7 linked regions of the Callithrix jacchus genome follow. The protein of the gene in region 3 purifies or fractionates together with the protein of the main gene of each other region. This does not show direct contact. Links are inferred from orthologs where the notes say so. Each region holds a gene or a part of one and is shown on either strand. Other genes may lie near its edges.

What was found.
Region 1: the proteins of DPF2 (region 3) and SMARCE1 purify together in Homo sapiens (affinity purification with mass spectrometry; 9 studies listed by BioGRID and IntAct, counting the BioPlex papers as one, with this or other methods). This does not show direct contact. The link is inferred for Callithrix jacchus from reciprocal best matches to the Homo sapiens genes DPF2 and SMARCE1.
Region 2: the proteins of DPF2 (region 3) and SS18 purify together in Homo sapiens (affinity purification with mass spectrometry; 4 studies listed by BioGRID and IntAct, counting the BioPlex papers as one, with this or other methods). This does not show direct contact. The link is inferred for Callithrix jacchus from reciprocal best matches to the Homo sapiens genes DPF2 and SS18.
Region 4: the proteins of DPF2 (region 3) and SMARCB1 purify together in Homo sapiens (affinity purification with mass spectrometry; 11 studies listed by BioGRID and IntAct, counting the BioPlex papers as one, with this or other methods). This does not show direct contact. The link is inferred for Callithrix jacchus from reciprocal best matches to the Homo sapiens genes DPF2 and SMARCB1.
Region 5: the proteins of DPF2 (region 3) and ARID1B purify together in Homo sapiens (affinity purification with mass spectrometry; 7 studies listed by BioGRID and IntAct, counting the BioPlex papers as one, with this or other methods). This does not show direct contact. The link is inferred for Callithrix jacchus from reciprocal best matches to the Homo sapiens genes DPF2 and ARID1B.
Region 6: the proteins of DPF2 (region 3) and SMARCD3 purify together in Homo sapiens (affinity purification with mass spectrometry; 3 studies listed by BioGRID and IntAct, counting the BioPlex papers as one, with this or other methods). This does not show direct contact. The link is inferred for Callithrix jacchus from reciprocal best matches to the Homo sapiens genes DPF2 and SMARCD3.
Region 7: the proteins of DPF2 (region 3) and ACTL6A purify together in Homo sapiens (affinity purification with mass spectrometry; 5 studies listed by BioGRID and IntAct, counting the BioPlex papers as one, with this or other methods). This does not show direct contact. The link is inferred for Callithrix jacchus from reciprocal best matches to the Homo sapiens genes DPF2 and ACTL6A.

Annotation. Positions count from the first base shown.
Region 1 is NC_133506.1:92,638,744-92,642,964, forward strand, and holds the end of SMARCE1 (SWI/SNF-related matrix-associated actin-dependent regulator of chromatin subfamily E member 1), read left to right. Parts: intron 1-333; coding exon 334-435; intron 436-1,095; coding exon 1,096-1,306; intron 1,307-3,097; coding exon 3,098-3,306; 3' UTR 3,307-3,369; downstream 3,370-4,221. UniProt on the Homo sapiens protein: Involved in transcriptional activation and repression of select genes by chromatin remodeling (alteration of DNA-nucleosome topology).
Region 2 is NC_133514.1:69,287,433-69,291,436, reverse strand, and holds part of SS18 (protein SSXT), read left to right. Parts: intron 1-2,156; coding exon 2,157-2,378; intron 2,379-4,004. UniProt on the Homo sapiens protein: Appears to function synergistically with RBM14 as a transcriptional coactivator. Isoform 1 and isoform 2 function in nuclear receptor coactivation. Isoform 1 and isoform 2 function in general transcriptional coactivation.
Region 3 is NC_133511.1:122,417,088-122,421,565, forward strand, and holds the start of DPF2 (zinc finger protein ubi-d4), read left to right. Parts: upstream 1-1,487; 5' UTR 1,488-1,529; coding exon 1,530-1,561; intron 1,562-4,478. UniProt on the Homo sapiens protein: Plays an active role in transcriptional regulation by binding modified histones H3 and H4. Is a negative regulator of myeloid differentiation of hematopoietic progenitor cells. Might also have a role in the development and maturation of lymphoid cells.
Region 4 is NC_133502.1:192,698,286-192,703,089, reverse strand, and holds the start of SMARCB1 (SWI/SNF-related matrix-associated actin-dependent regulator of chromatin subfamily B member 1), read left to right. Parts: upstream 1-1,558; 5' UTR 1,559-1,764; coding exon 1,765-1,857; exon of another isoform or gene 1,858-1,947; intron 1,948-3,427; exon of another isoform or gene 3,428-3,620; intron 3,621-4,804.
Region 5 is NC_133505.1:163,976,416-163,980,419, reverse strand, and holds part of ARID1B (AT-rich interactive domain-containing protein 1B), read right to left. Parts: intron 2,256-4,004; coding exon 1,928-2,255; intron 93-1,927; coding exon 1-92. UniProt on the Homo sapiens protein: Involved in transcriptional activation and repression of select genes by chromatin remodeling (alteration of DNA-nucleosome topology).
Region 6 is NC_133512.1:96,971,783-96,975,786, reverse strand, and holds the end of SMARCD3 (SWI/SNF-related matrix-associated actin-dependent regulator of chromatin subfamily D member 3), read right to left. Parts: intron 3,968-4,004; coding exon 3,845-3,967; intron 3,592-3,844; coding exon 3,496-3,591; intron 3,338-3,495; coding exon 3,236-3,337; intron 3,028-3,235; coding exon 2,866-3,027; intron 1,923-2,865; coding exon 1,825-1,922; intron 1,647-1,824; coding exon 1,511-1,646; intron 1,140-1,510; coding exon 1,017-1,139; intron 896-1,016; coding exon 794-895; intron 556-793; coding exon 502-555; 3' UTR 372-501; downstream 1-371. Other genes in the region: CHPF2 (chondroitin sulfate glucuronyltransferase), read left to right, coding at 1-97. UniProt on the Homo sapiens protein: Involved in transcriptional activation and repression of select genes by chromatin remodeling (alteration of DNA-nucleosome topology).
Region 7 is NC_133516.1:7,813,069-7,817,072, reverse strand, and holds part of ACTL6A (actin-like protein 6A), read right to left. Parts: intron 3,622-4,004; coding exon 3,526-3,621; intron 722-3,525; coding exon 635-721; intron 1-634.

The sequences.
Region 1 (4,221 bases), on a different chromosome or scaffold from region 3:
TGTTTAGATATACATGTGAACTTAAGAATTTTGAGGCATCCTATCAATCTTTACTGCTCTACTAAGTATTTTTTCCAAAGGAATTGCTCTGACCTGAAACAGTATTCTTTAATATTTGCCTGTTTATCACAGTCATTTCTTTGTGCTGCATTTTGTAGTTTTTAAATCTTAGCTAGACTCATGTAATTAATGATCTGAAGTAAAAATTCAAAGCATTATTTGGTACACTGTTTGAAATTGTGGACCATTAAAAAATGAGACATATTTTCTGTGTTTGACATTTGCTTTAGAGAAAATAATTAAGTAATTATAGAGCCTGATCCTGTCTTACAGCGAAAACTAGAAGCTGAACTTCTTCAGATAGAGGAACGACACCAGGAGAAGAAGAGGAAATTCCTGGAAAGCACAGATTCGTTTAACAATGAACTTAAAAGGGTATCTGTTTAATATGTTAACTATACTTTTATCACGATGCCTGTTACTTTATTTTTCCTCATTCTTTTTTCCAAAATAGTGTTTTAATGAATGTTGTTCACTTTGAAACAGGGTTAACTTTACTATATAACCTGTAAGATCTTTTTTTATACAATTTTTCCCATCCTCTGGCAGAATTGCAATAAATTTGAAATATCATGGAGTATACACATATCTACTAGGCCTATAAATGCTAGAGCCCTCTGATATTTTAAACTCCCATACAGTCAATTACTTTTATTGTGATTTATTCATAAAATGTCTTCATTAGATGTAATTCATAGTTTGCACTTTACATGTAGACAAGGATATCTAGTTGGTAGCCCAAAATATAAAATGGAAGCCTTATGTATACCCCAGAACTTTCACTGTTTTGCCTCACCAGCTGCTCTGGAATATCGGATGTTATACAACTGCTACAGCAGCTTTCTTTTCTTGTAGACCCAAGAGTTTCAGAGAAGACCTAGAACCACATTTTTTTGCCACACACACAGACACACAGGTGTATAGAATATATATATATATATAGTTTGTGGGCAAGAAAACCAACTTTTGAAAGAATATTTCTGGCTCAAAAATTATAAGAAAACATTACTAAGAGTTCTGGTTTATTCTGACTAGTTGTGCGGTCTGAAAGTAGAAGTGGATATGGAGAAAATTGCAGCTGAGATTGCACAGGCAGAGGAACAGGCCCGCAAAAGGCAGGAGGAAAGGGAGAAGGAGGCAGCAGAGCAAGCTGAACGCAGTCAGAGCAGCATCATTCCTGAGGAAGAACAAGCAGCCAACAAAGGCGAGGAGAAGAAGGACGACGAGAACATTCCAATGGAGACAGGTAACCCACTAGCAACAAACACAAGGAAGTGCCAAGACTTTGTACAGCTGTCTTTAATTTAGATTTTTCTTTCTAAGTGCAAGTTTTCTGATACCTGCCACTGAGAGTGATTCCCAGTACTGAATTTGACATGATATTGACATTCAATATTTTAACCTTTATTGCTTACATTATTTATCAAGATGTAGTTATTGCTTTAAGATCAATTATCTTAACAGCATTGGTGTTAAGATAATTGTCTTTGGTGTCCTAGGACAGCATTCTTCAAAGTAATACCGATAGGCCAATTCTGCCCACCACTTGCTTTTGTAAATAAAACTGGAACACAGCCACACTTGTTTGTTTACATATTGTCTATGGCTGCTTTGGGGCTAAAACAGTATAGTTGAGTAGTTGCAACAAAGACTGCCTAGCCTGCAAAGTCGAAAATATTTGCTGTCTGGCTCTTTACAGAAAAAAATGCCAACCCTGTCCTAGAAAAGCCCTTACTTCTAGGTATATTGATTTTCCTGATTGAAAGCAGCATCCCTCAAGGTAAAAAATAATAGTAATAACTTGTATGAATAAAACTTATATAAAGTACTGATTACAATGATTATCATTTGTAATTTTGAGATGACCTAACCTCATAGCACTGTTTTGACACTGCCTAGTACACTGTGTAAACAGGACTAAGCTAAAAGTTGTTATGGAAAACAAAACCAAAGGCTTCCTGGAGCATCGCTGCAAGAAGTGGGAGGGACAGTAGTCATACTTGGTACTCAAATGACAACCTCCAAGTGTCATACTTTGTAGTCAGATGACAACCATCTGGAAAACATGTAATGAAATACAGATCTTTACCAGGTATTTTTGCAAAATTTAATCCAGCAGGTTAACATTTTAGATAGTCATATGTTAGGTTTCACTATCTGAGTCTCTGTTTTGTATGAACATGTTTTTTATCGTAATGAATTTGGAGCATGAGCACATCTTTGTGGTTAAAGTAAGAGCTTGAAATTTAAAATACTGATTTTTGCAACTGTAAGAACACTCTGTCCCTTGCCTCTGTTTTGGCACCTGTGAATGAGGCATGTCTTATGCTTACGGTTTGCAGGTCTTTACTCAAATTCTGTTCTCCTAGCTCAAGGAAAAACCTGAAGAAGATCGTATGACACTATTAGAGCCAAAAGCTCATGCTTTTAATTTCCTACAGGAAACAGTCCAGCATGACTTTAAGAAAGTATCTAAAAGATCAACCTTATATCATTTCTACAACTGCTTCTCCTCATTTAATCCTTAGCACTACAGACTGACTCTCATTTACTGTCCAATAGAAATAAAATGCAATTCACATGTGAAATTTTAAATTTTCTACTAGCGACCTATTTTTAAAAGTTAAACAAAACAAGTGTTTTAACAATATATTTTATTTAATTCAGCATATCCTAAGTAACATTATTTCAACACGGAAGAAACATTTTTAAAATCAGCTTTCCTTTTTTTAAATAGTCTTCAAATCCAATGTATATTTTATTTTTCTACACATCTCAATTCAGAAGAAAATTGTTATCAAAAGTATTTGATCTGCATTTATTTAATAAATTTCATAAATACAGCTAAAAGTTAGGTTTTCATACCCAGATTGTTCCAACATTCTTAAAAGTTCTGTAGTCACACTGGCTCATTTCAGGGGTTTAATAACCACATGTGGCTAGTGGCTCCTGTATTGGACAGCCCAGTTGTATGCTGTCAGCATAACTAGAGTAAAATTTCATCTTGGAACTGACAGTGACAAATATGTGATTACAGAGGAGACACACCTTGAAGAAACGACAGAGAACCAACAAAACGGTGAAGAAGGCACGTCTACTCCTGAGGACAAGGAGAGTGGGCAGGAGGGGGTCGACAGTATGGCAGAGGAAGGAACCAGTGATAGCAACACTGGCTCGGAGAGCAACAGTGCAACAGTGGAGGAGCCCCCAACAGATCCCATACCAGAAGATGAGAAAAAAGAATAAATGTTGCCTTGTTTTATGTGTTCTAAATACTTTTTTAAATGAAAAAATGTTTTTTGGTTTTAATGGTGTTATGTGGTTTGTGTATTAATTTTTTTCTTGTCCATATCACACCACCAAAGGCTTTTGGACCATTTAGCCTCATGAACCTAATGGCACAGTCAGTCACCCTTCTTAGTGTTGTGAAGATGGCCCTTTTCTTTGGATCTTGTTTCTAGCCCTCAACTGCTGAAAGCCTCAGAATTTAGATTAATTGAGAAAACACCCTCCTCTTTTAGAGAATTATCCTTTGATGCTGCAGAATCTACTGTTACAATGCCTTCCTACAGCTCACTGGGGTGCTTACCAAAGCCATAGCTTTAAACCTTCCCAATCCCCATCAACAGTTTCCTGAAAATCTCCTCTCTTGTTTACTTCTGCAAAGGGTAGCTTCTTAAAACTGTAATCATGTATGAGTATGTATTTGTTCACTTCCCCTTTTTTACTTTTAGTCAATGTCAGATACCAAGAGTTGTGTTAAGAAGTTGAGTGTAGGCTACAACTAACTATGCTTGGATCTTACCGATCCAGAAATAGCTCCCATAGTTAAGAGTAGTTACTTAAGAAATGGTCATTAAAGTGAACACAACGCATATACATTATCTATACTGCTTTTTGTTATGATTAATATTGGGTATGTTCTGGTAAATTCATCCTTACTGTATAGAAAAAAAATTACTTTTTTACCAGGTTTTCCAAAGACAGACTAGATCACAAAACTCAAGGAATTTAATATTCTTGTAATGGACTAGATAATTTAAACTAATTAGCCCATTCCAGAAGAAAAACAGCTGGGAATTAAGTTAATCCACTTGAAATTATTTTACAATAATCAGAACATTCAAAACCTCAAGGCTCAGGATCCCATAGATCGAGCCC
Region 2 (4,004 bases), on a different chromosome or scaffold from region 3:
TGTATATTACCTTTTTCTTTTTTTTTTTTTTTTGCTCATCAGCCCCTTGATACTACATTTCTATTACCTTTTTTCCCCCCTTATTCTTTAAAAAAAATACAAAGGATAGCACTCATTAAATAGTATTATGTGTCTTCTTTCTCTCTTAAAGATCTGTCTTGGATACCATTATTTTATTCTGTATGTAAATAGATACCTTATTCTTTTTGGTCTCTGTGTCACGTTCTGTTTTACAACTTTATTTGAACATTTATGGTGGAAATATAGGCTTCTAGTCTTTTGTTATTGTGAATTATACTGCCATGAATTTGCCTGTAAAAATATATATATGTGCATATATATATATTTTGTGTGTGTCAGTATACACGCACACAAAAACTTGTATATCTATAGCATAAATTTCTGGAACTGTAATTGCTGGGTTAAAGGTATATGTATTTTTTAGATTTGATAGTTAGTGACAAATTGCTTTGTATAAAAATAGTAATATCCATCACTTCTGCATTTATGAATTTCGCATCCATGGATTGAAAATATTTGGAAAAACAAAACTGTACTGAACATGTACATACTTTTTTTGGTCATAATTCCTTAGTACAGTGTAACAACTATTTACATAGCATTTATATTATGTTAGGTAGTACATACAATGTAGGGATTTAAAGTAAATGAGAGGATGTACATAAGTTATATGGAAATACTGTTACCATTTTATGTCAGGGACATGAGCATTTATGGATCTTGGAATCTGTAGATGGTTCTGGAACCAGCCTCCTACAGATATTGAGGGACAACTACTTCCTTTGAATTGTTGTTTGTCTCTCTTAAGCTTGATCCCACCCTTGATTTCATAAGCTTGATTCCCCACGGAATATAAGTAAGATTTATATTCCTTTAACAATGGACAAAAGTGCTTCTTTCTTCATAATACAGTTAGATTAAACTTGATTTTTGAGAATCTGAAAGGTGAACGCTGGGTCTCATAGTTTTAATTTGCCTTCTTATTTTAAGTGAAGCAATCAATCTTTTAGTATTGATGAACCTTTTTGTAGTTTTTCTGTGAACTAGTCATTCCCTCATTATGTCCTTTGCCCATTGTTTTACTGGTGGTGGTGTTTTACTTACTTCATATGTTAAGTAATTAATTTGGTCTGTGATATGTCTTATAAATAATATTTTCTTACTTACCTTTTTATTATTTTTGAGTTTCGTGTCATGTGCAAATTTTTAAACTTTATATAGTGTAATTTTTCAGTGTTTTATAGCTCTGGGTTTTCTGGCCTGCTTAAGAAGGTCCCTCCATTATTATTTTAAAAATTCTCCTTTTTGAAATTCTTTTATGGATTAAGTTTTCTGTTCATCTAGAATTAGTTAGTGGAAGAAGTAAGGCAGTGATCCAACTTGTTTTTTTTTTCCAAATGGCTCCCAAGTTGTCACAACACCATTTACTGAATTAGTTTTCTATTGCTCACTGATACTTATTAGTTACTCAGCCATGTATTTGGGTCTGTTTTTAGACTCTGTTCTAGTCATTCAGTCTGTTAATCTATTCATTATGTTCACAGGTTTTTTTTTTTTCAGACAGAGTCTTGCTTGTTGCCCAGGCTGAAGTGCAGTGGCGCGATCTTGGCTCACTGCAACCTCCGCCTCCCAGGTTCAAGTGATTCTCCTGCCTCAGCCTCCCAAATAGCTGGGATTATAGGCACCCGCCACCACACCTGGCTAACTTTTGTATTTTTAGTAGAGATGGGGTTTCACCATCTTGGCCAGGCTGGTCTTGAACTCATGGCCTTGTGATCCACTTGCCTTAGCCTCCAAAGTGCTGGGATTCCAGGCGTGAGCCACTGCGCCCCGCCTGTGTTCACAGTTAATTACTCCAACCTTATGATATGTTTTGCTGTATTTTAAAGAAGCTAGTCCTCCCTTCATTTTCAGAGTGTTCATGACGTTTCAAAAACATTCGTTTATTAATCTGTAAAATGGGAATACTCTCAGTATTTACTGTCATTCCTATAAACCATTTACTTTGCTACTGATTAACTCTTGTTTGGTATTACTATAATAATGCAAAAAAAAAAAAAATACCCTTTCCAGGTACTTTGTATGGACCATCTATTTAATTTTCATATTTTGCTTCTGATCATTTTTCTTCAAAGGGCCTAACCATATGCCTATGCAGGGACCTGGACCCAATCAACTCAATATGACAAACAGTTCCATGAATATGCCTTCAAGTAGCCATGGATCCATGGGAGGTTACAACCATTCCGTGTCATCATCACAGAGCATGCCAGTACAGAATCAGATGACAATGAGTCAAGGGCAACCAATGGGGAACTATGGTCCCAGACCAAATATGAATATGCAGCCAAACCAAGGTAACTAAGCTTTATGTCCTTCTTGACTAGAGTACTATATTGGCCTTTGAAAGTAAAATGATTATCAGGTTCTTAGCTGATTCATAAAAGTATAAGTTTAAAATGAGGGACAGCCATGCCCAGAAAAATGGAATGTTGAGTTTGAAACTAGTTTAAATCTTTTTTTATATGTATGAATTAAATTGCTCAATTTAGCTTTTTAAGCTTATTTATTTTTATGTCTTTTGAACAGTTTATTTGAGGTTCTGTGTTGTTGAGAATTGTTTTTTAAAGCTGATCAGTGAAGAACCAAACATTTGGTTTAGAGCTAGAAAGTTGAGAAAATAAATACCTGCCTTACAGTTTAAATGATGTATTAATTTATATGAACTTCCCTTGATTTATATGGATGTTTTCTGATGCTATGTTTTAGCATTAAAAGGTAATTCTAAAATAATTTGCTATTAGAATGTTCAGTGGGGTGCTGCTGTACTACTCTTAGAATGGCATAAGTCCATTAAAGTTTATTACCAATCTCAGAATGAAATTGTGCTATGTTTCTAAGTATTCTGTGAATAATAACTAAAAGCCAGTAAGTGGCACTCTGTTCTGTAAATTGTCTGTTAAAACATTTGGCATATTTCCAGCTTAACGTTATTTTAGTTACAAAATATGGTAATTCTGTCTTACGGTTAAGACTGTAAGATAGAGTTAAATGTATTTGGAATAAAATTTTCTAGATTTTGATTATTAAAAAGCACTAAAATGTACCCAGATAAAAGAATTTAATGTTAATTTGTTGATAATTCCTTATGATGAAGTCATAGAATTTAAAAATATACAGATTTTAAAAATAATTTCAGTGAGATATACTGAAAACAAAAGGAGATAATAGAAAAAGTTGTCAACATTGTAGCTTCACAAATGGCACTTGTAACATTTTTTACCCCCAAAGTTACTTAATGCCTATGGTGGAATTATTTTTTTGTTTTTATTAGGTCAATTAAGAGTCCATACAACAGCAAGATCCAGTCAGTGCTAGATCAAAAGGGAGTTAAGGTGTTTCTCTATACAGTTTGGTTACCAGGAGAGAGAACAGGAAAATTCATGATTCTGGCAGCAACTCCAGTAATGATGGCACACTTCTTAGAAACTTGTGGTTAAGAAAAGGTATGGTGTGCACAAAAAAAAAAAAAATGAGTGTTGCTGGAGCAGGGTTTGACATGACATATTAAGATTTGAAGAAGAAAAAAAGCTAATGCATGCAGCAGTGTTGTATATTGACTTTTTGGAGAAAAGTACTGAGGCGTTTATAGAAATTTTTTGTTCTTAGGGACCAACTTTAACTTATAAAAATGTCATATTTTGTAAGAATGTGTAGCTCTTCCTTTTACTGTAGTACATTAGTTATATCACTTTTTTGCCTTGTTCTCGTCGTTTATAAATTTCTTGTTTTTTATTTTTATTTTTTGTATTTTGTTGAAAGAATAGAAACAATGTCTCCATCTGTTGCCCAGGCTGGTCTTGAATGCCTGCTTAAGTGATCACCTGCCTTGTCCTCCCAGTGTCCTGGGATTAGAGGCGTGAGCCATTGCACCTGGTCAGTTTATGAATTTCATAATAGAAAATAGACTATACAAAAATGAC
Region 3 (4,478 bases):
TTGCAGTGAGCCGAGATCATACCACTGCACTTCAGCCTGGGCAACAGAGCAAGACTGTGTCTCACAAAAAAAAAATCTACTACCATCTTCTCTGGGTTTTTCTTCCAAGCTGCTAACACCTATTCTGCATGTTTTGATACTCGTACAGGGTTAGGAATGACAAAAACTCTCACCTGCTAAGTATGATTTTAAGACACAGCAATGGTAAGATGTGTCCAGCTTCTGAAATATTAAAATGAAGGGGGAGATTTATGTGCATCTTGGAATTGGTGATATAAGATATATTGGAAAGATGACAAGTACCAAAGACCAAGCCCTGAGGATTCTGACAGTTAGAGGCTGAGCAGAGGAAGAGACTGGAAGGAACTGCCAGTGGGGTAGGACAACCGGGAGGGGGTGGCGTCTCAAAGATCTGCAGAAGAGTTTGAAAAGCAGAGTGGCCAACAGTGTCATGGGGTTGACAGGCCCATGAGGACAGAGAAGACATCTCTAAATCTGCTGAAAGGGAGGTCAGGGTTACAGGAGCTAGTTCAAGTGAACAGGTGGGAACCAATTGGGTGGAAGGGGGACTTGGAAACAAGGCAACAGAGACAGGGAGTACTATTTGCTTTGAAAGACTGAAAAGAGGTGATAGTGAAGGTCGACTGTGCTGGGGTTTTTGTTTGTTTATTTTTTTTGACACAAGGTTCGCTTTGTCGCCCAGGCTGGAGTGCAGTGGTGCGATTACGGCTCACTCAGCTTCTACCCTCCTGTGCTCAAGCGATCTGGTCACCTCAGCATCTTGAGTAGCTGGGGCCACAGGCACATGCCACCACACCCGGGTAATTTTTTAATTTTTAGTAGAGACGAGGACTCCCTAAGTTTCCCAGGCTGGTCTCAAACTCCTGAGCTCAAAGCAATCCTCCGGCCTCCGCCACCCAAAGTGCTGGGAGCCACCGCGACGGGCCTCCTCCAGCTCTTTTTTTTTTAAGGTGGGGTCTCGCTCTGTAGCCCAGGCAGGAGTGCAATGGTGCAATCCCAGTTCACTGCAACCTCCGCCTTCCCGGGTTCAAAGGATTCTCCCCCTCAGCCTCCCAAGTAGCTGGGATTACAGGCACCTGACATCATGCCCGGCTAATTTTTCTATTTTTAGTAAAGGCAGGGTTTCACCATGTTGGCCAGACTGGTCTCGAACTCCTGAGCCCAACCGATCCACGGGCCTTGGCCTCCCAAAGTGCTGGGATTACAGGCGTGAGCCACCTCGCCCTGCCCCACCTCTTCTAGATAGAAGAGGCGGCCCGCCTCCAACCGAGCTCCGGGACGCATGCCAGTCTCCGGTTTCGCCTGCGCATCGGTCTCCCGTGCGGTCTCACGCGTTTCCTTCCCGGCCCCCGCAGACAAGCGTAGAGCTTTCTTCAGTACTCGCTCTCGTGCGCGCGCCCGGGCGGCGCCTGCGCAGAGGGCGAGGAACCTGGTGCCCCCGTGTGGTCCCGGCGCCTGCGCGCTGCGGACTCTGGGGCCTCCCGGCCCGAGGGAGAGGAGCAGGGAAGATGGCGGCTGTGGTGGAGAATGTCGTGAAGCTGTGAGTGGTCGTTTCTTTCTCTCCTAGGGCGGCAGGTTTTGTAAAGGGCCTGGGAGGAGGGGGCCGTGCGGGAAGAGATGAGACGGAGAGAGGGACATGCCCGGCAAGATCGTGTTGCGACTCCTGGTGGGGAGGGCAACAGGAGACTCTGGAGAAGACGTTGCGCTTCTTTGGAAACTTGTGGAGGCCCTGATGGGGGCACACTGGAGCCTCGACGGGCGGCCTCCCTGCGGGGCTGTGTAGCCTGAGCGTTCCTCGGGGCTGACGGTTTCTAGAGCATGGCGCCCTGCCTGCGCGCGAGACTCACGGTCCCGGTCCTCTCCCCAGACGCCTCAGTCCCGAGGAGCGGGGCTGAGGCCCGGGCGGCCCCTGGCGAGTCCGCCGCCCAAACCGCCCGGTCCCGTCCCGTCCGCTGCAGCAACAGGGTCGGCGGCCCCAGTGGGGTGCACTGCGGGGCTGGATGTTTTAGTTCCGAGCGGCCCCGTGACGTTTGGGAGGATCTTGGGTGGCGGGCACCTAAGACTGCAAATATTCTTGGGAAGAATTTGTCGAAGAGCGGATACAAGAAGGGAAGGAACTTCAGGGGAGCGGGCCTTGGCGCAGTCCAGAAGCAGCCATCAAAAACCTGCGGCTGGACCGAAGCCGTTCAGGACAGCTCAGTAGCCTAAAGGGACATCCAGATGGGTATTCTTCCTATTTCACGGTACCATTGTGCTGGCCAGATATCAAGCAGAGTTAAAGTTAGTATTTGTTGGGGCCATGGACACTGGCCTATGAACTGCTTCCTGTCAGTTAAAGATGCTTTGGGACTTGATTAATTCCTACAGAAGAATGAGAACGAGTTTTGGACTGGGTTAATGCCCCCTAGGCGAATAGAGCTTCTTTTAATGGGTACGTTGGGCTTGGTGGAAGGGTGGGAAAATTGAGGATGTCTAGCTGTCCAGTCAGGGCTGTTGGATTTTGACGGAATGAATGACAGTGGAAGAGTGGGAAAATTGAGGATGTCTAGCTGTCCAGTCAGGGCTGTTGGATTTTGACTGAATGACAGTGGAAGGGTGGGAAAATTGAGGATGTCTAGCTGTCCAGTCAGGGCTGTTGGATTTTGACTGAATGACAAAGTAGAGGTTCGCTAGCTGTTCTAAGGGACTCACCGCTTTTCATCCGTCTTTATCGTGGGCTGAGCCCCACTCTTCCTAAGAGCCTTTTTAAAGAGTAAACTGCTTCTCCCTCATGCCCTGAAGCCTTTTCTTTGAGAATGCTTTCCCACTTCCATTAAGCTAAGTGCCTTTCCTCCTCGTGTGTGTGTGTGTGTGTGTGTGTGTGTGTGTGTTTCATTTAACTTGCTTTCTGATCTATCCTGTCTCTTTCAGCCACCCTCCTCCCAACACTATTGTCTTTCTCTCTGATCTGCCCACTCCAGTTTCGCAGCTCTCTTGAGGCTGACATTTTTCTCAATTTAGAAATGACACTGTTTGTATACCGGTTATCCTTCCTGGCTGAGATGTTCTTTGTTTCCCTGCGTCTTTGTTGACTTCCCTTATCCCATTGGAAGGGGATGTTTTACACGGGTTTCTCCAAAAATAAAAAGAAAGATTCCCCTTGTACTGGAGGAATATCAGACTTGCCTATGTTTTGAGAGTTAAACGTAGTGGGGCTTTTTGTGTTGGAAGACTTTCCTCAGGGAGATAGGGTTGCCAGTGCTTTCAAGTTGTGTCATAAGTGAGGGGTTCCCATTTAAACCGCATGACTTCTGATTTCTCTTGGAAAAACTATAGAGATTGTTTCACCTGCCACTAATTCCTGAATGCCAGTAATGAGAAACCAACTTTCTCCTCATTTCTGGCTGTACAGGGCCTCAGACCACAGTTAATACGTACTCCTGCAGAATGATCCCTTTAACAAGGGCTTCCATTCTTCCAGTTCATTGGAAAGAGATGCTTTTCTGGCACTTCTCTTGATTATAGTGTGCCTAGTCTTCTGACAGTTGATATTATACACTGAGGTCGGGACCACTAGCTCATATTTTCTTTTATTTTTTTGAGACAGAGTCTTGCTGTTGTCAGCCCAGGATGGAGTGCAGTGACACCATCTCGGCTCACTGCAACCTCAGCCTCCCAGGTTCCAGCAATTATCCTGCCTCAGCCTCCTGAATAGCTGAAAGGCAACCCACCACCACACCCAGCGGGTTTCAACATGTTGGCCGGGCTGGTCTTGAACTCCTGACCTCAGAGGTGATCCACGGGTCTCAGCCTCATAAAATGCTAGGATTACAGGCATGAGTCACCGCACCCAGCCACTCAACTTTCTGACTTGCATCTTGTCCTGGGAGAAGAATTTTCTTATTTGTAAATTTCTGTCCCTTCCAAATGTGATGTCAGAAATAAAAATCTTGGCTGAGCAGGGTGGCTCACGCCTGTTATCCCAACACTTGGGGAGGCCAAGGTGGGTGGATCGCTTGAGGTCAGGAGTTCAAGACCAGCCTGGCCAACATGGTGAGACTCCATCTCTACTAAAAATAGAAAAATTAGCCGGGTGTACTGGCACACACCTGTAGTCCCAGCTACTCAGGAGGCTGAGGCATATGAATTGTCTGAACCCGGGAGGCAGAGGTTTCAGTGAGCTGATATCACACCACTGCCCTCCAGCCTGAGTGACACCTTAAGACTCTGTCTTTAAAAAAAAGAGGCTCGGCACAGTGGCTCACAGCTATAATCCCAGCACGTTGGGAAGCCAAGGCAGGCAGATCACAAGGTCAGTTTTCAAGACCAGCATGGCCAATGTGGTGAAACCCAGTCTCTACTAAAAATACAAAAATTAGGCATGGTGGTGCGCGCCTGTAGTCCCAGTTAGTTACTCAGGAGGCTGAGGCAGGAGAATTGCTTGAACCCAGGAGGTGGAGGTTGCAGCGAGTTGAGAT
Region 4 (4,804 bases), on a different chromosome or scaffold from region 3:
GTCTCTTTTTGTGAATGTTCAGCCAGGATCAGGAGGCATGGCCGCTGTCCAGCACTATCCTGGGAGCCAGGGTCACAGTCCCCCAACCCAACCCTCTGGCCCTTGGGGCTGGGCACAGTGCTCAGGGCTCCTTTTGCTCCATTACATCACATTTTGCTACAGTGGCTTGTCAACTGGCTCCGCACTTTCCTACTTGTCCCCTCCGTTCATCCTCCAGAATGGTGGTCATTTTATCTGCTCCCGCCACAGCCCAGCCCCTCGTGAAACACAGTCAGCCTTCCATACATAGCTGTGGTTTCTGCATCCATAAACTCAACTAATCTCGGGTGGGAAAAAAAGTGTTGAAAAAAAGGATGTGGCCAGGTGCAGTGGCTCGTGCCTGAAATCCCAGCTCTTTGGGAGGCCGAGGTGGGTGGATCACCTGAGGTCAGGAGTTTGAGACCAGCCTAGTCAACATGGTGAAACCCCATCTCTTCTCAGCTACTTGGGAGGGTTGCCTCCTACCTTCCAACTCCACATGTGTCTTCATAACAGCATTTATCATAGTTGCATTTTTTTTTTTTTAAAGAGAGACAGGTTCTTCCTTTGTTGCCCAGGCTGGAGTGCAGTGGTACAATCAGCTCACTATAACCTTGAACTCCTAGGCTCAAGGGATCTTCCCCTCTCCACTTCCGAAGCAGCTGGGGCTACAGGCGCACAGCACCACGCCACACCCAGCTTATTTATTTTAAAATTTTTGTAGAGACAGGGACTTGGTGTATTGTCCAGTCTGGTTTTAAACTCCTGGCTTTAAGTGATGCTCTCTGCCTTGGCCTCCTAAAGAGTTGGGATTACAGGCATGAGCCACTGTGCCCAACCACAGCTGCAATTTCAGTAGACTGAACCGTATGAAATCATCAGTGGTGGGCCACTTTTTTACTCACTGGATTATTCAATCAGATACATGATTGCTTTGAGACTTTTAGTTTCACTAGCTTCGGGCGGTAGGAGCCAAGAGACTGAGCCTGGTTTCCCGTCCCACTGCAGGGCTCAGGTAAGCAAAGGAATGGAGGTGGAAAGTGTCCCTTCCCTCCCATGCTCATCTGATGCACCAGCCAAACCAAATACCATCTGGGCCTTTGAATATTGCCAGTCCTTATCCGCTGTTGTCATTTTGCCCACCTCCACAGCTGCAGAAACAGCCGTAGGCCGGGAACTGGGATATCTGTTCCTAGGGGCCCGCCTATCTGCTCAGTTGCATTGCCTGTTTCAGGGGTTGGGAAGCTAAGGCACGAGCCTGGTGTCCAAACGTGCCCAGACCACTCAGGCTTCCAGATATTAGGTCCTTCTCCTTCAAACCTCACTTCGTTTCTTTTCCCCTGGGCTCCGTTCCAGTCCTGGCTGTAAGACTGGGAAAGCAGTGGCTATTTTTGTCCGTGAGAAGCTTTCCTTTCTACACCACGACTTGGGAGGCAGCCTGGGAGGAAGAGAAATTAGCCGTGGCTCCTTTAAGAAGTCCGCGGAGGCGCTCCCGGCCTTTTGTTTCAGCGGCGGCGCGCGCGTCAGCGTCAACGCCAGCGCCTGCGCACTGAGGGCGGCCTGGTCGTCGTCTGCGGTGGCGGCGGCTGAGGAACCCGGCTGAGGCGCCGGTACCCGGCCCGGTGCGCATTTCGCCTTCTGGCTTCGGCTTCCCTTGGCCTGGCACTCGCCGGCCACGCCCAGGCCCCACCCCAGCCCTCCGGATCCCTCGCAGACCGGCTCCGGCCGCCCGTCTCTGCCGCCGCAATGATGATGATGGCGCTGAGCAAGACCTTCGGGCAGAAGCCCGTGAAGTTCCAGCTGGAGGATGACGGCGAGTTCTACATGATCGGCTCCGAGGTAGCCTGCGGCGCGTCCTCGCCCTCCCCGGGCTCGGCCCCGCGGGAGCCCCAGGGCGGGCCCGTGCGCCGAAAGCGGGCGTCTCCATTCATCGGGGCGGGCGGGCGCGCGCGCGCTCCGGACTGTGGGGCGTGACCTGTGGGCGTGGCCCCGCCCCCTCATCTATCTGGGTTTCTTTACCCATTTCGCCGAGGTCTGCCGCCTGCAATGCTGCCAGGGCTTTATGGCGCCGCGAGTGGTTCCATTAGTTCCCTGCTGGGTTGGTTTCCAGCCAGACTCAAAGAAGTGGAATGTTGGGTTAGCCCCTGAGACGCTTGGGGGACCGCACTGCTGCCTTTGACTCTTTTTAGATGTCGTAAATTTCACGTGCACCCCTCCCCACATTGCCACTTGTGGGATCCTGAAATGGCAGGCTGAAAACTCCCGGGCTTAGTGAGGGCTCATCCCTATTGTGTTTGTTTGTTGCTTCTTAGGTGGGCAGTAGAGGTGTTTTGACCTTTGTTTACTAGTGAAGAAACAGATCGGAGGGAGATGTTTGCTTTTGGGTGGGTAAAGGCCCCATGCCTAAGCTGATTCTTTGAGCAATTCTGAAGCAATTGACATTTTCCATATCTGTGAACTGATTCTGAATTATTACAGGGGCAGGAGAACAAGGATCTTTAATCCTTAAGTAGAGTGGCAGTATTTTGTTGCATCAACTGATTGACTGACGTTGGAAAAACCTTCAATTGGCAATTAAACGGGTGTTTATGCCAAATATATTAGGTTCTTGTTTTTTGTCATTTGTTTATTTATTTTTGAGACAGAGTCTCGCTCTGTCACCAGGATGGAGTGCAGTGGTACGATCTTGGTTCACTGCAACCTCCGCTTCCCAGGTTCAAGCAGTTCCCTGCCTCAGCCTCCTGAGTAGCTGGGATTACAAGCGTCTGCAACCACGCCCGCCTAGTTTTTGTGTTTTTAGTAGAGACAGGGTTTCATCACGTTGGCCAGGCTGGTCTGGAACTCCTGACCTCATGATCCACCCGCCCCGGCCTCCCCAAGTTCTGGGATTACAGGCGTGAGTGAGCCACTATGCCTGGCCTTATTAATAGTTTTTATCTTACTTTATTTTAGAAAAAAGGTCTCACTCTGTTGCCCAGGCTTTGGTACAGTGGTGCATCTCAGCTCACTGCAGCCTTGACTTCCTGGGGTCAAGTGATCCTCCTGCCTCAGCCTCCCAAGTAGTTGGGACTACAGGTGTACATCACCATGCCCGGCTAATTTTTGTGTTTTTTTTGTAGAGATGGGGTTTTGCTGTGTTGCCCAGGCTGGTCTTGAACTCCTGGGCTCAAGTGATCCTTGTACCTCAGCCTCTTAAAGTGCCAGAATTTCAGGTGTGAGCCACCACGCTCACACTCAGCCCATTCATACTTTTTAAACTTGTGGGTTTTTGCCTTCACAATTGAGCATAGCATGAAGGAATGAAGCCTCAAGATGGTCACGCTGAGTCCCATGGGTGAGAGTAAGGTCAATAGCATCAGAACTTTAGTGTTAGCATTTCTCCACCTTTTTTTTTTTTTTTTTTTTTGAGGGGAACAACGTCTGACTCTGTCACTCAGGCTGGAGTGGAGTGGTGCAATCTCAGCTCTCTGCAACCTCCACCTCCCGGGCTCAAGCCATCCTCCCACCTCAGTCTCTCAAGCATCTGGGACTACGGCACACACCATCACGCCTGGCTAATTTTTACATTTTTAGTAAAGATCGGGTTTCACCATATTGCCCAGGTTGGTCTTAAAAAATTCAGACGTTCAAGCGATCTGCCCACCTCAGCCTCCCAAAGTGCTGGGATTATAGGTGTGAGCCACTGTAGCTGGCCTCCATCAATTTTTATAAAACAAAAAGTGAAGGATGCAATAAAATTTTCACGTTGTCACTTGAATTGCAACTGTTCGAAGATGGCAGTGCTGGGGAGATGGAGCCATTGCCTGTCCTTGTGCCGCAGTTCAGCATTGTCCTCATTGGCCAGTAGACACCTGCCTAACTGCAGGATGCAAAAGGTGTTGAGTTTCATCATGTGATACTAGGCGAGTTGTTTACCTGATCTAATGGGTATAAAAGTAGTTAGTTTGGCTCAGAGTGGGTGACACTTTAAAAGAAAGCTTTCATTTATTAATTGGAGCAAATTGAGAAGCTGTAAGTGGCCAAGTGGGAAGAACCTTGGGAGGCCTGGTTCCAGCCCTGCTCTGCCTTCGTGTCACGTTTCTCATGTGTAAAATGTGATGCTTAGACTAAATGGTTTCCAGGATCTTCCCCAAAGCACATTTTAGTTTCTGGAAAGCTAATTACAGTCTTGTTTTTCAGCCCCCTTCACTCCTGGGCTTCCCAGTAAGAATAGTCTTCCTGAGGCCCAGCCTATGAGAGACTCAGATGGAGAGGCAGTTTGTTCTCTTGGGCCTGACTTAATCATCAGACCTTTGGAGTTTAGGCAAGGGTTCAAGGTCAGAGCTCTATTGAAATCAGTAGCTCCAGGTACAGTAGTGGATGGATGGCCCCCAGAGCTTAGCAAGAAGCTAAGGATGAGCCCAGGAGTTCAAGACCAGCCTGGGCAACATGGTAAAACCCCATGTCTACAAAAAGTACAAAATTAGCCGGTCATGGTGGTGCGCAGCTATAGTCCCAGCTACTCAGGAGGCTGAGACAGGAGGATTGCTTGAGCTGGGGAGTTCAAGGCTGCAGTGAGCTATGATCGCACCACTGTACTCCAGCCTGGGTGACAGAGCAAGACCCTATCTCGAAAATAATAATGATAGTTAAAAATAAATTTAAAAATTAAAAATATATACTATGTTGGGTAGATAAAATGGGAAAAATAATAGAAGTGGTCCTTCATGGGGTGTAAATCAGGGTTGCCGAGCATTTCGCAGATGAGTAAAGAGACCCAGAAAACAGGAAGTGATCCCTGGTTAAA
Region 5 (4,004 bases), on a different chromosome or scaffold from region 3:
AGTTGCCATAGTTGGGGTGCTGGGAAGAAAACATGGGGCGTCCGCCAGCCCCAGACTGGCTGGGATAAGCAGGCGACCTAATGTATGGTGGCCTAAAGTGGAACAGAAGAACAGCTTCTTGGGATTTGTTCTGATGCACAAGCATGAATCCCTGTCTATCTGTCACCCCTACACATAGGTGCGGGGCTCACAGACCACGGAGGCAAGCTGGGTATCCTGCACCCTGCCGCTGCCTGAGGGGTGGGGGGGGGGGACAGAAAATGCCTCTAACAAAAGTGTGTGGACAGGCAGAGAAAAGTAAGATTCTCAACTCCAATCTCCATTTACATTTTAAAGTATAGCTTTGACTTTGGGAAAAGTAAACAAGAAGATATCCAGCCCCCATTTAAACTCCTGGGGAGCTAAAATGGGCAGCAAGTGAAGGCAAGGCTTTGGAATGGACTGGGCATTAGAAACAGAAAATGGCAATGCATGGATGTGTATTTATATACTGATTACTACAAAACCATATAAACACTGACTCGGAAAGGGGGCACGCATGGCTTTGTAACCACACAAAATCATGCCTGGCTCTCTGTGGCTATCTTCTGAGGTTCCTCTCAAAAAGGCTGTGTGCCAAATGCAATCGCATACTTTCTACTTAAAAAAAAAAAGAAAATAATGTGTGCTTTATGAGCTGCAACAATGGACAATTCATTTAAACTTGAATTAGAACTTCAGTTTTGAACAGCCAGACCAGTTTCCACAGACAGGTTTACAAAAACATTCCCCTAAAGCCTGTGTGGGTTCGGCAGACGGCTGCTGGAGTCCAGGAGGCTGTAAGTAACTGCGATGTGGAGACCAAAAGTCAGATAATGATTGATTTTAATTTTTATTTCCTCAACGGAAATTTATTATTATTTGGAGAAAACACTAAGTCTGGCGAGGTCCCACATTCCTCAGATAGCAGCTTTAGAAGAAAAGTAACAAAAGACACGTTTAAAAACACACACACGCACACACATGCACACACGCACACACACCTTAGCTTTTATTTCTCTTTGACAAATATCAGAATCTTCTACCCTTGCTTCTGAAGATTAAGATATACATTTTTCAAAGTACTTTGCTTCAAAACTTATTTACATGTGCTTTAAAAACATATTCACCTTTGCCTTATACATTTTAAATTATATTATTTTTATCCAGGTCAAGTATGTACTTCAAGAATTAATCTTTAAAGTCGGGATTAAAAATGAGTTAAGTAATTGAAGCTAAAGCCAAACTTTCGAAAATACGGTCTTTGCTTTTTCAACCATAGTTTGGTTTGGACAGATAGAAAGATATGCCTGGAAAAATAAAATGTAGCCTAAGAATGTAAAGTATATAAACCTCACACATATATAAGATATGCCTGGAAAAATAAAATGTAGCCTAAGAATGTAAAGTATATAAACCTCACACATATAGACAAACACACAATACACATGTATACATACAAAGTTTCCATTTTATGAAGATTCTTATGGGAGAGTGAAAAGGGTCAGGGGGTGTGTTTCCTTTTCAACGTTTTAGAATTTAAATGGTTTCTGAGCCTTAGTATTTCCTGCTTAAAACTCACTGCTTCAACCGGTACCACATAGACACTTCCCTGTGTGACTGGCTCTGGTTTGCTGCTGCGATGACTATTTAGACATTTCCAATCGCCTCCCACGACTGCCATGCCCACTGCTCACATCCCTTCCTCATGTATGATAATACATGGTTTGTCACTCAGTTCTCTGACCTTGATGCTACAAAATGTATTTAACACAAAAAGAACGGCCAAGCACAGTGATATTCTACTGCTCTGTGTGACCCTGGGGAACAATGCGGCTATGTGCGCAGTCACGTGGCCACGCGTAGACACACAGCGTACCTGCCCGGGGCGTGCTCCTGGGTGGCGTACCTGCTTTGTGCTGAGTTCGCAGCAGCCTGCATCACTGCTGCGGCTGCCTCCTGTGCCTTACGGTTCACAGTTGGCATTGGCGGCCCCATTCCTGGCCCTCCCTGCTGAGACATGCCAGGAGAACTGGGGGTCATGCTGCTCATATTTCCAGGAAATGGTCTGTTCTGCATCCCAGCTGATGGCATTCGTCCCAGGGGCACAGCACCACATGGCTGGCTTGGCCCTTGTCCATGCATCTGGTTGTTGGCACTGATACCCATACCGGGCCCTGGGCCGCTGTAGCTTGCACTGGGCACCCCACTATACGCTGGGGGTCTGGAGTAGTTACCTAAACAAAAAGCAAACACAAAGTAAAGCCTTTTATTTAATCTTGTGACAACATTCACTGGAAACACTTTTTGTCCAACAATGCGATCAGCACGGAGTATTAGTTATGACCCTTATTGGCCCTTCCTGCTGGTGCTGGTGAAGCTGCCAACCTCAGACATGCTCTCTCTGCACACCCCCAGGCCCTCAGAGAGTGACCCAAATACAGACAGCCCCAGAGGACCACTGTGCTGTGAAGAGAAATTCAGGCTGGTCATAAAAAGCAAAAACAAAAAAACCCCAAAAAACAAAAACCCTACGAATAGGCAAGGGCTACCGAGTGCTGCCTCCACCCATTCAACGATGCACATTCTTGGTTTTTTTTTTTTTTTTTTTTTTTGAGACTTAGTCTCGCTCTGCCACCAGGTTGGAGTGCAGCTCCATGATAATGACTCACTGCAACCTCTGCCTCTCAGGTTCAAGTGATTCTCCTGCCTCAGCCTCCCAAGTAGCTGGGATTACAGGTGCACGCCACAAAGCCCAGTTTATTTTTTGTATTTGTAGTAAAGACGGAGTTTCACTGTGTTAGCCAGGATGGTCTTGATCTCTTGACCTCGTGATCTATCGCCCACCTTGGCCTCCCAAAGTGCTGGGATTACAGGCGTGAGCTACGGCGCCCGGCACATTCCTGTGTTTTAACTAAAATGGTGAGCAGCACTCAGACCGTACCACTAGGTCATTGCTACCTTCAACAATCATGAGACAGGGCTCAAAAAGACAACGTGTAGGAAGAGATGCACATGCGGTCCAAATCACCCTTTAAAGTCCCACAGGAAGATGTTGCAGGAACCTCACGTGAGCCCCCGTTTCCCTCTAAGCTGGGAATAATTTTTTCTTTTTTTTTTTTCTTGGGTACTGGCATCAAGCGGCTGGTTTGTGCTGGCTTCCACATCTCGGAAAACTGTCCCAGCACCAGCATGGTCCAGGTGGCAGGAGGGCTGGCGGGAAGAGCTGGGGGGGGGGGCAGCGAGGGCTGGTGGGCACGGCCAGAGGGGGGTGGTGAGGGTTGGTGGGCAGGGCAGGGGCAGGGGTGAGGGCTGGAGGGCAGAGCTGGGGGGCTGAGGGCCAGCGGGCAGAGCTGGGAGGTGATGGCTGGTGGGCACAGCTGGGGGGGTGAGGGCTGGCAGGTAAAGCTGGGGGGTGCGTGCCAAAGAGCAGAGCTGTGAGGGTGAGGGCTGGAGGGCAGATCTGGGGGAATGAGGGCTAGCGGGCAGAGCTGGGGGGGTGAGGGCTGGCAGGCAGAGCTGGGGGGGTGAGGGCTAGCGGGCAGAGCTGGGGGAGTGAGGGCTGGAGGCCGGGGTGAGTGCTGGCGGGCAGGGCTGGAGGCAGGGGTGAGGGCTGGTGGGCAGGGCTGGAGGCAGGGATAAAGCGCCCAGTGGCACCTCTTGGCCCTGGTACACACTGGCCACTGCCCTGGCTGTCTCTGTAGGCGTTTTCTCTTTCCTTTCACACCTTTTACTTTGATTGTGTGTAGATAAATTCAATTAAATCAAAGGTACACATGACACTACTTCAGTCATAAGAGCTGCTGAACTATCGTGTGTGCTGGGGACCTGGTTAAGTGCTTTGCACCAATGAATTCATTCATTTCTCCCAGTAAGCATGTGAAATATAGATACCCCAGAACTCCATTTACAAATGAGAAAAATCAAGAGCTAGAAGATTAGGACTGAAGTTCAAGCAAACTGACTCTGGGACCCATGTATTTAAC
Region 6 (4,004 bases), on a different chromosome or scaffold from region 3:
CTACCACCGATGCCGCCTCAGCAACCTGGAGGGGCTGGGGGGCCGTGCCCAGCTGGCCATGGCTCTCTTTGAGCAGGAGCAGGCCAATAGCACTTAGCCCCCCTCAGGGCCCTAACCTCCTCAGCTTTGCTTTGCCCCAGCCCCAGGAAGGGCAAGGCAAGGTGGTCCACAGATAGAGAGCTTGTTGCTGTATTTTTAAAGTATGAAAATTATTAAACGTGTCTTCTGCTAAACTGTTTTTAGATCTAGGGAAAATTGAGTAAAGAGAATACAAGGGAAGGGTGTGGGGAGTTTGTCCAGAGGGACCCACTGCCTCCCCACCCACCTTTCCTCCCCCTTGCCTCCCCAGTTTCCAATGACCACATGGCTGCTGTCAGATGAATAACTTTTAATCCAGCCCCGCACCCCAAAGCGGCAGAGGAGTGATGCCAGAGCCTGGGGTGGAGCGCTGGAGCTCTGAGTGCGGCCAGAAGGTCCTTCGTGCTGCTTGTTCCCGGGCTCCTAGGTGTTGCGCACAACCAGCGACTGCTCCAGCTCCTGCCTGCGCTGCTGGATCTTTAGAGGAAGTGAGAGCAGGAGCAGGTGTCAGTGTTCCTGGTGAGTGATCAGGACCACCCCACCACCTGACACTGCCCACCCTGGAAGAGCATCTGGGAGCAGGGGTCTGCTGCATGGTCAGGCATTGTGGTGAAGCTTTACTGTGGGGAGCTAAGAGGGCTGCCCACAAGCTGAACAGGGAGGTTTCTCTTGGAGTTGAGGAGGGGGAAGCCTCAGGGCAAGGGACCCTCCATACCTTGCAGTAGAAGTAGCGACTGACGGCCTCCTGGGACCAGGGCTGGTGGTAGAACTCAGCCCGGCGCTCCTCTTCAGGGTTGCCAGCTACATCTGTCATCACCTGGGAGGGGGCATGGGGTCAGCCCTGAGCTCCAGATCCCCTCACCTGCCCTGGAGTACATTTACTGTCTCTCCTGATGTGCTTGTCTTCTACTCCAGTACTCCCTGAGTCTCCCTCTCACCTTGAGGTCCCGGCTCTGGGAGCGGAGCAGATCTTGGACATAGCCTTTGGGGTCTCTGGAGAAGCTTAGCATGAAGTCCCTCTGGATCTTGAGCTGATTTATGGACTCAATCGTCTCATGGATCTGCAGGTAGAAAGATAGATGCTTTCCACCTGGCTGTGGTGATGTGGGAGAGGGAGGGGAAAAGGAGGTGGGTGGGAAGGGGAGGGAGAGGGGTTTTCTTTGGTGAAAGACAACACCTCAGAGCCCCTGATTCCTCTGAAGTCCCAGGGGAGGAGGGGATGGGCAGAACTAAATTTGGAATAAGGTTCAACTCCAAGTAGCATGGAAGGGCCATGTGTACCCCACTGGCCCACACTCTGGTCGCTTCTTTTTCTTTTCCTTTTTTTTATTTAACCCAGACTGCTCATCTGCAACCACACCCTGGTCTCAGAAAAGTCTGCTTTATCATCTCTGGGTTAATGTCCCATTCCAGCTCTGGGCTTGGGCCCCACCTTACTGTCCAGAGCACTGATCTCCTGCTGGTTGGCTGTGGACAGGAGGAAGCTGCTCATCTGCCCCTTTAATGGCTCCTCCACCTCCACATCAATGTCATAGCATGCCGTCTTCTTCTGGTCTGAAGGGTCCACACTGCCAGGGAAGTGCAGCCCTCAGTGTTCATGATGCCCCTATAGAGGCCCTAGGGCCCCGGGGTGGGGGCAGCTCCAACAGGGAGGGAGAAAATACGGGAGTGGGAGGAGAGGGAGGGGCAGGGAAGGCAGGAATGAGATCATTCCCTGGTCTGAGAAGCAAGCTGGGGCCACCTCACCTGATGACATGGTTGATGACAATTGGGTCAGGGGGCAGTAGCAGGGCTGTGAGGCGCTGGGGAATCTCAGAAAACTTCAGCCGGGGACAATCAAAAATCTAGCAAGACAGTTGCAGGGAGAGATCACTCTTGGAAGAGATCATCACGAAGTTGTAGATCCTTTGGTTGTAGAAAGGCCTCAAGAAGCTGAGAGTGAGTCTGATTCCTCAGTGCACAGGGGGATGGGATTGGGGTGGGCTGGTCTGGTGGTGGAGCCACCAGCACGGCTGACAGGGCCTGGGGTGGGTCAGTGTGGGGCAGGTTGAGAGTGCAGGCCCTGGGCCAGTCTATGTATCGGTCCTGCCTCTCCCATCACTATGCAGCCATGAGCAAGCTGACACCTCAGGCCTCTGTCTTCATCTCTAGAGTGGGGGTGAAAATAATATCTATCTCAGGGCTGTCGTGAGAAGTCGGTGCTAATGCACATAAAGTGCTTGGAACAATGCCTGGCACATGGTAAGTGCCCAATAAATATCAGCTGCTATTTTTACTCCTCAGGTTTATCTGCCGTATTTATTTTAAAATGCATTAATAAGAATACTCTCTTTTGGTGGAATTTCGCTAAGTCCCTTTTGCAGCAATTTGATCTTCCCTAACTGCCCAGGAGAGTAGACGGGGCAGGTATTATCACTCCACTTCAAAGATAAGGAAACAAGTCACTTACCCAGAGTCCAGACTCAGGACTAGAACCTGGGAATCCAAACTCCAGGTGCCAAGAATATTACATTCCAGAAAGCAGTTGGCTTTGTAGGGTTCCAGGTCTTCCTAACTTGGGGGGGCGGGGGCGGGGGCTAAAATGGATTGGCTGCAGCACAGAGCTAATCCACAGTAGGACCTGAACTAGAATCCTGGTCGGTCTCTTGGCTCCAAGACCATAACTCTGTACTGCTTCTGCTACTCAGGAAACTAGAAGGGAGGGTGGTAGTTACCTTGGTAGAGGTACTTCCCCTGCTGGAGAACTCTGCCTGATCCCCAGGCCCCTGGGTTCAGGAGGGAGGTTACCTGCTGGAAATACTTGTCCCCATTGATGTATTCCTTGTCATGGGAGTCCTGCAGCCTGTTGGTCTTCACATACTGCCACAGGGCCTGGACGATGGCTGAGCGGCTCTGTGTGTGCAACCCCAGCAGCCGTGCTAGACGGGGATCCAGTTTGAACTGGGGAGGCTGGGAAAAGGGGACTGTGAAAGTTAGATCAAAGGGAGAGAATGGAAGGAGCCCAGGGCCAGGCCATTCAGGACTAGGGGGATGCGTTGACTGAGGGAAAGACAGGGTTGGGAGGGGAAGGAGGTCTCTCAAGATGGACCATGTTGGGACCTAGGCCTGCCCTAAGGGCCTCATGTGACATGTGCGGGGCAGCATGGCAGATGCAGACCTGGTAGTCCAGCATGAGGAGCAGCGTGCAGCGCACACTCAGGTCCCCAGGCCGTTTCACCTGGAAGCCGTCCGTCTCCTGGGTTGTGGGTGTCCGATGCCACTGTCCAGGAGAGAAGAGCTGGGTCACCCAAAGGCCCATCTGGAGCGGTGGGGCCCAGGACTCTAGGGTGGTCCGTGATCCAAATCTGGGCTGGTTCTTCAGGGATTCTGGCCTGTGGGAGGGTGGCAGTTCAAGGGCAGAGGGGATCTTGGTCTCACCTCAACGAGGTGGTTATCAGGGCCATAAAGATCTTTGTCCAGCTCAATGACCAAACTCTTGAAGAAAGAAGAGAACTTCCGCTTCTGTTTGCTGGGCTGTGGGAGAGAAACAGGGACCGTGGGTGCAGAAAAGGGACTGGGGGCAGAAGAAGGCCAAGTTGGCAGCAAACAGGGCAGCGGGCTTAGATGAAATCCTCTGCACCCGAATGTTTCTAGGCCTGCCCTGCCCTGCCCTGCCCTGCCCTGGACCGGCCTGACTCTCTAGCCCTTAGTGCAGACACCTAGTTCTGTTCTCAGTGCAGCCCAGGCCCACCCTAGGACACCTGGAGAGACCTGCGCCGGGACGTACATCATCCAGGAGCTTCCCCTCTACCCGCAGCTCCCAGGAGGCAATGCTGCCATCGGAATCCTCAGCATCAGGCTTCGCAGGGTTAAAAGTGTTGGAGATATAAAGACGCAGCTTCCGCTTTTGCTGTAGAAATAGAGTGTAGAACCAAGTGAATGCTGTG
Region 7 (4,004 bases), on a different chromosome or scaffold from region 3:
GGAAGGCTTGACTGAGTACTTAATGACATTGACTTTTGTTGCTCTAAGGTAAAGTGCACCCTCCCCCTTTATATACAGTATATATGTAAGTATACCATGCACAGGTATGTGTAGAAATATACTGTATATAAAGGGAGAAACGCTCTAAGTCCAAGATGCAGAAAAGTGTAAGGAGTTTTTCTCTAGTCAAGGCAGACGCTAGTCCAAGCAACATCTCAGACCCAGCACCATGACTTCACCATTTGCTCCAACCAATTCCTGACTTCCTGTAGTCACTGGGAGTCCCAGGAATGACCAGAACTTGAGAAGGAATGATTTAATTTTAAATGCACTCCAGACAAGCCCTGACCAGTGCCAGTGGGGGTGCTATTAGAAAAGGTATGCATACATTAAGGTATTTCCATCTCTTTTTGAGAAGGGAAATTGAAATTAGGGTGACAAATGTCCAATATTTAGGCAAAGAGGCATTCTGTTCCATCAGAACACACGAAACTGGTTATTCTATTAGGTCCTCCACTCATTTGACAGTTATAAAATGCAAAGATAAATGAAGCACTGGAATTATTTTTAGTATTTTTACTAAATTCAGTATAATTCAGTAAGAATATTTTTGCAAAGTAACTCATTCACTAACCAAGGAGGCTAGAATGGAGCCACCAATCCAGGAGCTAAACCTCCGTTCCACCGTTGTATTATTTGCAATCAATTTCAACCGCATACTCTGAAACAGAGAGAAGAATGCACATTATGCAATCAAATCTTGTGACTCAACTTAGGAAATTCCTTTTTCTTTTTGTTAATAGACACAGGGTCTTGCTCTCCATATTTCCCAGGCTGGTCTCGAACTTTTGCAATTAACCGATCTGCCCATTTCAGACTCCAAAGTGCTGGGATTTCATGCATGAGCCACCGCACTCAGCCAGGAAATTCAATTTTGACAGGCTTCTTAATAGTTCCCTGTAGTTCAAACACTGACTAAAATATGGTAATTTTGAAATAGCTAGGATAATAAGCATAAGTTAGACTAATGTATAGATTTTTTAAAGTACTTTGATTATGGCTTTTAATATGCAATTATGTGATGAGAAGACATACAAACTTTCCAAAACTGCATACTGAAGTGTAGCATTCACAATTTCTATCCTAAAAGAGCAAACCCATACCTAACACTATAAATCTGGTACTGTGCTAAGTCTTTATGTATTATTTCATTTCATCTGACCCAAACATAATTATTATTTTTTTTTTAGAAAAATTTAATCTTTGCATTTTAGTTTGGGATTTTTTTTTTAAGAAAATTTTAATCTACACAAACATAGTTATTATCCCAATCTGCCTCCCATTCTGTAGTCCTCCCCAACCTTCTAACTGCTTCCTTTCTAGGCCTTCATACTATCCTAATCCATGCTTAGTTCACCGCAACCCTTCCAAATAAAACGCAGCCATCAGCTTTCAGGTTAATTTTTTATTTATACTACTTTCCTTCCAAATCAGTGCTTCTGTTTTGACTCTCGCTTTCTCTTGATAATATATCATTTCATTGCACAGAACTATCCCCTATCTCACTTCCTTTATCAAGCGGTTTCTTTCCTCCTACCAAGGAATCTGCCTCTGGGGACAGTTCTCAAGTTGCTGACATCTTCCAATTATTCTATAAATGAACACATTCTGTGAGCTTTTCTAAGTGATAAGTATGTGCAGCAGGGGTAGAGTATGGGATCTGGGTGGGGAGAGGGGACTGGGGATAGGGTAAACATGGGTTCTGTAGGTATGAAAGATTGGTAACTATTAAGTAGAATATTTTTCCTGTTCTTTCACTTAATTATAGAAATGCGGCATATGTGGGCCGGGCGCGGTGGCTCAAGCCTGTAATCCCAGCACTTTGGATGGCAGAGGTGGGTGGATCACGAGGTCAAGAGATCGAGACCATCCTGGTCAACATGGTGAAACCCCGTCTCTACTAAAAATACAAAAAATTAGCTGCGCATGGTGGTGCATGCCTGTAATCCCAGCTACTCGGGAGGCTGAGGCAGGAGAATTGCCTGAACCCAGGAGGCGGAGGTTGTGGTGAGCCGAGATCACGCCATTGCACTCCAGCCTGGGTAACAAGAGCGAAACTCCATCTCAAAAAAAAAAAAAAAAAAAAAAAAAAAGAAATGTGGCATATGTAAAACATTCTTTTATATGGGAAACCAAAAGACTATGAAATATACAGATCTACAGAAGATACTGTTAGGCCTATGTAAATGTAACCACTAACAAGTTTTTTTTTTAATTTAGTATTTAGTGCAGAACACCTTACAAAAAAACACTTTTAAGTTTTTGTTGTTTTCTGTTTTGTTTTGTTTTTTCCCTGAGGTAGAGTCTTGCTCTGTCTCCCAGGCTGGAGTACAGTGGCATGATCTGAGCTCACTGCAACCTCTGCCTCTGGGGTTCAAGCAATTCTCGTACCTCAGCCTCCCAAGTAGCTGGGACTACAGGCATGTGCTACCATGGCCGGCTAATTTTTGTCTTATTAGTAGAGACAGGGTTTCACCATGTTGGCCAGGCTGGTTTGACCTTGTAATCCACCCACCCTGGACTCCCAAAGTGCTGGGATTACAGGTGTGAGCCACCATGCCCAGCCAATAGAATTTTTAAATTTAAAGTTAAAAGATTACAAATATCATTCTGTTTTCAAAGTACTATACAAATTACCTTCTGAAACCAAGTTTTTCTATCCTTGTAAAAGTTCTTACAATACATCCACTGATCTTTTTAAAAGAAATATACGCGTTCATCAGCGTACTGCAAGATTTTATCCTGTGAAGAAGGAAGTATTTTCCCGTATAGATTCAGCATAGCCCCACTGACACCTTGAGGCTTCTAGCCTCAAGAACTACAAGACAATAAATTTCGGTTGTTTAAGCCACTAACCTGTATTTTGTTATGGCAGCTCTAGGAAACTAATCCATCTTTCTAGCCATATTGCTTTCCCCACTTCTGTACAGACTGGAAGCCACCTACTTTGAATTACTGAAACATACCCATCTTCTCTTAATATTTTTGCAAATGGTTTTATTCCATCTAGATATCCTTTCATAAATTAGCAATGAATTGAACTATTCAATCGAACTGTAGCTTCTTAATGAGGCTATCCTCTGATACTCCCAGAGAGTTAAGCAGTGTCTTCTTGGTGTTCCCAATAACATCTGGTTCATGGCATACTTAATTGTTCAGTATGTTACAGCCGTCATTTTCTGCATCTCTAACATCCTAGTAGACAGAGCCCTTGGTGTGCAGGGACTAGTGCCTACTAGACTATAGGCACTTAAATATTATGTTAATAAATGAGATTAAAATAATTTAAGAGAAACTAATAGATGTCAACTAAGAAAACTTGGTTGTAGGATATTAACTTTAGTAATACTCTACCAGGCACACATACAATATCATCTTTATTAAAAAATAAACCCTCATCTATGAAATTACACCATCAGTGAGAATATATATGACTGAAGAATACCATTAAAGAACAGGACTTACTGGAGGAGTTTTCTGAGACAGCTCTCTATTCAACCTGTCAGTAAAACTCTGTATTAGTGTGTTTCCTCCAGCCACTATTACACTGCCATAGAGACCCTAGGATTAAAAAAAAAAATCAGTTAGTTCCAAATGTTTCCAAAAGTTTTAAATACAACTACAAATATAACCATGTTCTCTACTACAATTTTCCCTTTCTTTTTTTTTTTTTGAAATGTTTTCCTATTATATACACTTAATAGCTTAATCTATCAATTCTGCCATCCTGGCTGTACATTTAACTCATCTAAGGAGCTTTTACTCCTGGGGCAATTAAATAAAAATTTCTGGGGATGGGATCCAGGCAAGATTACTTTTAGAGACGGGGTCTCGCTATATTGCCTACATTGGAATGCAGTGGCTATTCACAGGCACTATCATAGCGTACCACAGCCTCAAACTCCCGGCTTCCAACAATCCTCCTCCTGTCTCAGGCTCCCAAG